2 linked regions of the Solanum lycopersicum genome follow. The protein of the gene in region 1 interacts with the protein of each later gene in a pairwise test. Links are inferred from orthologs where the notes say so. Each region holds a gene or a part of one and is shown in the gene's direction. Other genes may lie near its edges.

Region 1 (4,289 bases):
TTGGTTCAAATTTGTTTAAGATAGAGACGATTCTCTACAACACTTGAACAATTGTGATTGAAGGTACATTTCTATTTTTTCTTCGTTTCTTTAATTTATGCATGTGTGTTAGAAAATCAACATATGAATGATACAATTGTATTCTTAAATGATTTAATCTTTGAACTTGCTATAAAACATTGCTACATATAGAAAGATCTTTAATCTGTTAAAGGCAGAAATGTGTATAAAATTTAAATGATATTTATTTCGTACACAAAATTACGTAGAAAACTAGAAATTGCCTAAGGTATATAATTATGCACGATCTAGTCATATATTTTGATGTATGTTTGTTTACTTGCCCTTAATTGCCATTTTACCTTCTATTGCAAATTAAAACTAGACATGAAAAAATCTTAATTTGATCTTTAGGACACAATTGAGGTTGCAAGTATTAGGGAGATTTATTTTTTACACCTTTTTTTAATTATCATTTCAAATTTAGTATTATTTGCACAAGGAGTATTTAATACAAGAATTATTGTACTCTATTATTTTATTTCACATCCAATGTAGCATAAGAATATGATTAGATACATAGACAAACTATTCAAATGATAAAATTGTCCTTTATTCAAAATCAATTTTGTTATGCACTTAGGCATTTAGAAAGTTATAATTGAACCATGGATCATTCAATTTAAAATCATATACACATTTGTATGTATCATATATTCCAATTTTAGGCCAATATACCAAACTTTCAACATGAATTGCAGGTAGAATGAATAACACTACAATTATTAATTTATGTATTATGAAATTTATAGTTCATAAAGTTTAATAGTTTAATGTATATATCGAAAATTAAGAGACTGATATGATTTAGACATATAAAGAGATAAACACATAGTATATTCCAATGAGAAAATGCGAGAAATTGACTATGATAAGTTAGAGAACAAACGAATATAATATGACTTTATTCAGGAGAGCAGGAAGGTCGAAGATCAATGGATAGTCGATCTTTGCCTACTTGAGAATAAACATGTTCTACAAAATGGACAATGTAAAAACTTGAATGTTCCCTTGGCATTATGTAATTCATAGTTCATAAAGTTTAACTTATGTATCGAAAATTAAGAGACTAATATGATTTAAACATATAAAGAGATCAAACACGTAATATATTCTAATGAAAAAGTGTAAAAAATTGACTATGATAAATTTAGAGAACAAATGAATATAATATGACTCTAGTCAAGAAAGTACGATGATCGAAGATCAATGAATAGTCGATCTTTGTCTACTTCGAGAATAAACTAAGTTCTAGAAAATGGATAATGTAAAAATTTGAATGTTCCCCCGGCATTACATGCTCGGTCACCTGCGTGCAGACAATGGTTGCGGATTTAAGGAAGAAAACAATTCTCATTGATATATATAATAATGTATGTAATTGTTATGTCTTTTTCCCGTTCCATATATTTCTCACCTGTCACCATTCTCATTGGTTCTCTCTCTCCTTATCAGCTTCAGTTACATTTACTCTCCCACTCTCTCTCCCACTTTACCTCGCTTTTTCTCACGCTTCGAAAACTCCCATATGGATTCTATACTACTACTATAGCGCCTTTTTCGTCTTCTTGCACCAAAAACCCTAAAGAAAAAGGAACAAAAATGGTTTAGGTAGTTGTTGAACTTCTTTTTTGCTATCTTCTTCACCAGATCTAGGCTTTAACTAGGTGCGTGTGGAAACCCAACTGTTTTCTTGGTCTTGTGGTGTTGGAATGGTGGAAAAAGTTTCTGATTTTTTTTTGCTCTAATGAAGCTGCATTCTTGACTTTCTTGTATTTTTGAGTGGGGTTGTTTTGGAGTATGGGAAAAGGTGCTATTTGGTTAAATGAAGCTGCATTATTGGTTTTTTTTTATTTTATTTTTTTTTTGGTTTGTTGTGAATTTTAGCTGCAAAGAAGCTGCTGTTTGGTTCATTTCAGTGGTGGGGTTTTGCTGAATTGTTCTGGAAATTGGAAAAGAAGTTCTTGAATTTTAGGCTGAAAAGCTGCATTCTTGCCTTTTTTGTTTCTCTGTTCTGAGTAGTGATTTACGGCTGGGTTTTAAGGGAATGTGACAGAAAGTGCTTGAATTTCAGCTAAAGAACAGCACTTTTGTGTTAGATTAGAGAATTGAGACTTTTTGATTCTATAATTTTTACTGTGCTTTCTTTGAATGTCGGTGCTGCTCTGCATAGTGCTTTGCCAGTACTTCTCTTTTCCACAAAGATGACGTCTTCTGTGCTAATTTAGCTTGCTTTATTTGTTTTGATCTTGACAATTTTAATTGGACAGATAATTGTTCTTGAAGAATTGGTTGCAAATGGATGACTCAGTTTTAAAATCCAATGAAGACTCAGTGGAGGAGAACCAAAGTCCAGAGATAATAGAGAAGCCATCTCCGCTGCAGGATTTGGTTGAACATCCACAAAGTTCAGAGTCACTAAAGCAATCATCAGCAGAGAGTGTGAAAAAATCAAGGACAGTGAGACCAAGTTTAACAACTCAAAATGGGGCAACAAATGCTGGGACTGTGAAGAAGCGAACTGGAATACCAGATGGCACTGATTTTACTCTCAGAGGTGTCAAGTCATCTCTGACAAAATCGACTGTTAGTAGCACTTCACGAATTTCAGGAACAACTCCAGTCACTAGAAGGAGTAGCACTGGCGGATTGCCTGACAAGCAGCCAATAGCAGTAACTAAACGAGCTAGTGGCAGTGTTGCTTCAGGTACAGCTAAAAAGACCAACTCTTTGGCAACAGATCCTATGCGGCGATCGCTTCCCGAAATGCGGAAAAGCACATTGCCATCAACCAGTACCAGAACTACTACTCGATCAAGTATTTCAGAGATCAGAAGATCAGTTCCCCTTTCACCCCTTGCAAAGACTCCAAGAGCATCAGTTAGTTCTGATGCAAGCAAAGAAGAATCTGTTAAGAAGACCTCAGCTAAATTATCATCGCCATCACTATCCTCTGCAAGGAGGAGTGCGTCTACATCGTTAGAGAGTACTGCTAGTAGTGGCTCAACTAGAAAGTTCTCCACGAAGTTGTCTTCTCCAGCTGCTCAGTCACCTTCTGTTTCCACGAAGGCTGGTTCATTGACAAAATCGTTCAACAGAAGCAGTAGTTCATTAAGCAGGAAGAAAGGGGGGACTCCTGAAGGTCGGGATTCACGCCTTATCATGCTTCCTCAAGTGGAAATCAAAGCTGGCGATGATGTGGTAATAACTTATGTCTCATTTCTTCATGTTGCAAAATTTAATTTAGTTGGTGTTAAATTGAAGATGAGTGAAAACAATAGTTCATTTTACCTCTCCTGAAGGTGGATAAATTACCTTTTCATATAAGCTGCTCCGCTAGTAACTTTTTCTTCTAAGGTGTTCTTTAAGAACAAACCTCATAGGTTTAAAGCAAAGCATTTAAGGTAAGGGTTATGACAAGCATGAAACAATATTATTGAAAGTGCTTAAATTGAGAGCTACTCAGTTCTCAAGCATCAAATCGATGGTTTTAATGCCAATGGTGAGGCATACATCTGTATTCCATTTTTAGAACCTTGGGCTGTGGGTGGACCTTATTAAAAAAAGATCCTTGTGCAGTGGCTTCCCATGCATTTACTAATCTTCATATCACATGCTTTATCTAAAGAATCCCAAACCTCCATCTCTATTTAGCTATTACAAAACTTTGGCTCACAAATTCCACTTATCTATATTGACTGGCTCTTCTACCTATCAATATAAATAGAATATGATTTTTGATGCTAAATATGCTTTTGAGTTATATGTTTTAAAGGAAAAGCTTTAAAGCACATACACAAGTGCACTCTATTTTCAATTGCTTTTGATGGAGTATATATTGAATTTCTTTTGCTTTGAATTATACCACTCACCTAAAAGCTTCTAAACATACAATAAGTTCATCTGATACCTTTTTTTTTTCCAAGGAGAGAAGGTTTTCCTTGATTGTCTTCTATTAACTTTTATGATTGTGGGTCTCTTCCCTTGTGGCAAGTAGTACATGATCTATTTGTTTGATCAGCTGTAAACTTGGACTGTTTATTTAGTTAAATGCTCTCAAATGTGATGTTTATTTTCTTGTTGATAGAAAAATGCTGCTCAGTCTATCTATTGATGACATTTCTCTGCCTATCAAAATACCTAGCAATACAAAGTCAACATCACTGTCACCGTATAGGTTAAGTAAACAATATATTCATGCAAGTATATATTGTGATTTCGGAAAATAA
Region 2 (4,436 bases), about 1.8 Mb from region 1:
ACTAAGGACTTAAAACATACGATACTAATTTGGACAAAGTTAATTTAATAAGGCGTTAAGTAAAACCCAAGATCTTTTTGAGATGATTTTCAAATGTTTCGTAAAAATAAACTAATCATATAGAGATTTACAAAAAAACAACTCCAATTACAACTTACCAAACAATAATTTAGTAAAACGTTAAGTAAAATTAAAATTTTGGCGAAGATTCTCGAATGTATATAAAAATAAAAATCAACTAATTATATAAAACACATATAAAAAAATTGTATCACTTAAAAATATTGAAAATCGGTTAAAGTTACTTTAAAACGATTCGAAAAACATTTAGAATTTTATAAAGTTAACTATTTCAAGCTTGTTTGAAATTCAAGAAACCTGTGAATTAATTTCTATCGGGGAGGGTCAAAATTAAGTGTAAACAGTTGACGACAACAACAAAAAGAAAAAAAAACTGACTTTTGGCAAGCAATAATATTTTGCAGTAGATTTGGAGTGTAAATAATACTTGATATAATAAGAAGAAAACCATTGTATAAAGAAAGAAGTTGAGAATAAAAGGTCTCCCATTGCACTTAGCCAATTACATAATTATCTATTCTCCAAAAATACATGTAGAGCTTTACTCAAAACAAATCACAAATATAATAAATTAAAAAGTATAGTTAGGACCTCAATTATTGAACTCATAAAACTTAAATTCTAAATCGAAGACCTCTATTCACGATAGAATGACTTCTAGATCTTGGATAAATGACGTCATTAACGTCCGATTCGTTAAAATCACAAGGCTTGTTTTCATCAATTCTTCCTAATCTTCCTACCCCAGTGCTATAACTTCTCCAAGTAGATTGATTCTTCAACTCTGTGCTCTTGGGTAGTTGTTGAGGTTTTCTATGAGAAATTGTACATGACATGACACTTCCCCCTTGACCAACTTGTTGAGCACAATCAAACATTGTTTTCATGTAGAATTCTCTAGCTTTGCCTAACACCTTAAATGGTGCCACAATATATTTGACTAATTTTTTCGTGGTTTTAGTTCCCATTTTTACACTCCCAAAATGATGAATTGTGTAGAATTTGTAATATATTTGTAGCTAATCTTGAATTAGACGGCAAAAGACGGTTTCAAATATTAAAAGTATTATTTTAACCGCTTCATGAGAGTAATGACACACATATTATGCCAAAGAGTAGGAGACAAATTGTCACACCGAACACACGTCTACCTTCTTTTAATTGTTCTACCAATGTTTTTAAGATGTGGCAATGGAAAAAAAAACTTGTTGACAAACAGTTGCACAAGAGCATGTCGTTAGTGCTCACGGTGGCGGATCTAGGATTGGATTATAAGTTTCTCTTTAGTAAATTGAAGTAATTAAAAATATTATTAATAAGAGTTGTGATGAAGTGATAAAGTAACTTTTTCATTTTTATGAATGTAAAGTCATCTTTGTTAGGAAATGATTTACCCTAAAATGAGACTTCTCGATGTGAATTTAAATTTAGTGGGACTCTAATATTGTTACCGAATACCTGATGAAAGCAAAACAAAAGTAATTAAAAATATTAATAATTATATTTAAATTATCAAAATAAACCTATCCTATTTTCCTTTTATATTTTGTCACCCAAAAAAAGAGGTATGAAATTGAAATTATTTAAAAAACTCTCGTGACCTTCACACCATCTTCTTTCTCCCTCCTTCACTCCACCATTAACATCTCTTTCTCTCTCTGGTACCGATCTTTCTTCTAAGTAAAGCTCCATTTTCAGCAGAAATTCAAAATGGGTTTCATCATATCCTCTTCGTATTCTCATATATTCTGAGATTTCCTATTTCTAATTTCTGAGCTTATGAACACCATTTTTGCTTAGCTACACGAAGCCCCAAAACAAGAGAACACAAACCCAGAGGTTTTTAGGCGTTTTATTATGAGTTACACCTCATACCATGCTGTTTTGTTAAATGGGGTTTTGCGTTTTTTCTGTTTTGTTACTGTGGTTTCTCGATCTACTGCACTGGGTTACGACTTATTGTCTTTTTTACCAATGTGAACTACCAAGTTCGAATTTTTAAAGTATTTTATACTGTTCTGTGCTTGTGGGTACATGGATCTTGGTGGGTAATTTCTTTGGTGCTTGATTAGTAGAAAACATTGCTGGTAATTAGGGAGCTTGCTAAGTTATCTGATTTTCATGAGTTTTCTGTGAGCTTTGTAGCATATCGTGCAATGTTGATCGTATTTTTGTGATTCTGTTTGGATTTTTAGTGTTGATTTTGGTTTGGGACTTCTGTTGACTATTTGTTGAAATTGGCTTCTTCTTTAATGCGGGGGTTATATGTTTTTGGACTTCTTTGATTTTTAGTAATCATGGTGTTACTAAATTGGTTAGGTAACTGCTGAAGTTATTGAAGATTACCGTTTAATTGAGGAGTTGGATGGTCTTTTTGAGAGCTGTATAGAGCGGAGATTATAATTTTGGAAAATGACTTCTGATATGCCACCAGTTAGTATGAGGTCAAGCAGGTCATCTTTTGGCTCAAGCAATGGATATGAAACACCTTCACACTATTCCTTTCCAACCTCAAATGGGGATGATTATGATAGTGATGGTTCTAATTTCGCTCCACCGTAAGCTTTCTTTGACCATTAGATTTACTTCTTTGATCTTATTTCATACTTTGATGAAAATGGGTGGTGTTATCTAATGCTATATCTCCTACCTTACAATTTATTGTTACCAACTGCTTTTTTGCGTTTATGTAATGTGCAGCACTCCGAACACCCTCTCATCAGTCCTGTCACCTGAACTTGCTGGTGCAATACCATATATTGACAGATTCCAGGTAAGAGATGACTTTGCAGAAAAAGAGAATCATTTCAGTCTGTATGCACACAACAAAGATTGGAGTGGCTTTTTTTCTTTTCTGAATTTTGTTAAGAACGACATGGTGGATCTCAATTATGCTTTGCTGCTACTTCAGAGAGGTAATATAGATTCTTTGTGGTTATAGGTTGAAGGTTTCTTGAAGGCTATGCAAAAACAGATTCATTCTGCTAGCAAACGTGGGTTCTTCCTGAAAAAATCTGTTGGGCCGCAAGTTCGAGAAAAATTTACATTTGAGGATATGCTATGTTTTCAAAGGGTGAGATTAAGCTATTTAGCTCTTTACACTTTTGAAAATGTATCTCTCGACACTTGCAGACTAAAAACAACTTGCATCTTGACAGGAACCCATTCCAACATCAATTTTGAAAATAAATGGTGATCTCATTAGCAGGGCAGTTAAATTATTTCAGTCTATTCTGAAGTATATGGGTATTGATTCCTATGATAGAGTGGCTCCAATTAGCTTTGATGAACGGATTGAACTCGTTGGCAAGCTATTTAAGCAGGCCCTGAAGCGATCTGAGCTTCGAGATGAAATGTTTGCACAAATTTCAAAACAAACAAGGAATAATCCAGAGAGGTACTTTGACCATCAAGTATATTGATTGAGAAATGGGAAGCTGATATTCACTTCTTTCTGTTTATTCTGTTGCTTTTAACTTGACAGTGTTCCTCACATGCTTGTTTCATACATATAGGCATTCTTTGATTAAAGCATGGGAGCTGATGTACTTGTGCGCATCTTGCATGCCTCCGAGCAAGGAAATTGGTGGATACTTGTCAGAATATATTCATACTGTAGCACATGGGACTAATACTGATTCCGAAGTTCAAGTTTTTGCTATAAATACTCTAAATGCACTGAAACGTTCGATTAAGGCTGGACCTAGGCACACGATTCCTGGTCGTGAGGAGATCGAAGCTCATTTAACTGGGAAAAAGCTTACTACAATAGTGTTTTTCTTGGATGAAACCTTCGAGGAAATTACCTATGACATGGCAACCACCGTTGCTGATGCTATTGAGGTATTGTTGAATTTCCATATAGTTTATATACAACAAACTTTTTTTCATAAATTAGATGCTAATGTTTGAGTTATACAAACAAGAAATACACATGGGATTTATAATTTGGTAGAACAAAACATAATTTAGGATATCCTTGTTTTTATTTTCCACTTATCTATCCAAGAGCTAATGGCATGTTTGACTCAGTATGAACTTAACATGAAAGTTGGAAAATCTCTAATTTATATGTGGACTATGTTGGGCTTATTAGTTTTTCTTTGGTATTCAGGTTTTTTAATGATAATGAGAAAAGTTGCATGGTAAAAAGTAGGATAACTGTAATTCTTGGTTATTTTATATATGACATATCTTTCCTTCGTTCATGAAAGTGAACACTGCTCTGAAGATACTATAAGAGGGAGGCGACAATGTGTGCAGGAGGGAGTAAGATAATGCTGCATCTCCAAATGTTTTCTTGAATGAAACATCCTTGTAAAATGATTCTCATAAAAATATATATCCTTGAAAAA

What was found.
Region 2: the proteins of 187-kDa microtubule-associated protein AIR9 (region 1) and kinesin-like protein KIN-14E interact in binary tests that used the Arabidopsis thaliana proteins (3 or more experiments, as listed by UniProt). The link is inferred for Solanum lycopersicum from reciprocal best matches to the Arabidopsis thaliana genes AIR9 and ZWI.

What each region holds. Positions count from the first base shown.
Region 1 is NC_090801.1:56,226,248-56,230,536, forward strand, and holds the start of 187-kDa microtubule-associated protein AIR9, read left to right. Parts: upstream 1-1,451; 5' UTR 1,452-1,727; intron 1,728-2,330; 5' UTR 2,331-2,358; coding exon 2,359-3,261; intron 3,262-4,289. UniProt on the Arabidopsis thaliana protein: Microtubule-associated protein that may be involved in the maturation of cell plates and proper insertion of cross-walls after cytokinesis.
Region 2 is NC_090801.1:54,456,611-54,461,046, reverse strand, and holds the start of kinesin-like protein KIN-14E, read left to right. Parts: upstream 1-1,618; 5' UTR 1,619-1,920; exon of another isoform or gene 1,921-1,942; intron 1,943-2,400; 5' UTR 2,401-2,493; coding exon 2,494-2,639; intron 2,640-2,781; coding exon 2,782-2,854; intron 2,855-3,022; coding exon 3,023-3,154; intron 3,155-3,239; coding exon 3,240-3,478; intron 3,479-3,596; coding exon 3,597-3,924; intron 3,925-4,436. UniProt on the Arabidopsis thaliana protein: Minus-end microtubule-dependent motor protein involved in the regulation of cell division and trichome morphogenesis through microtubules bundling. Possesses basal and microtubule-stimulated ATPase activities.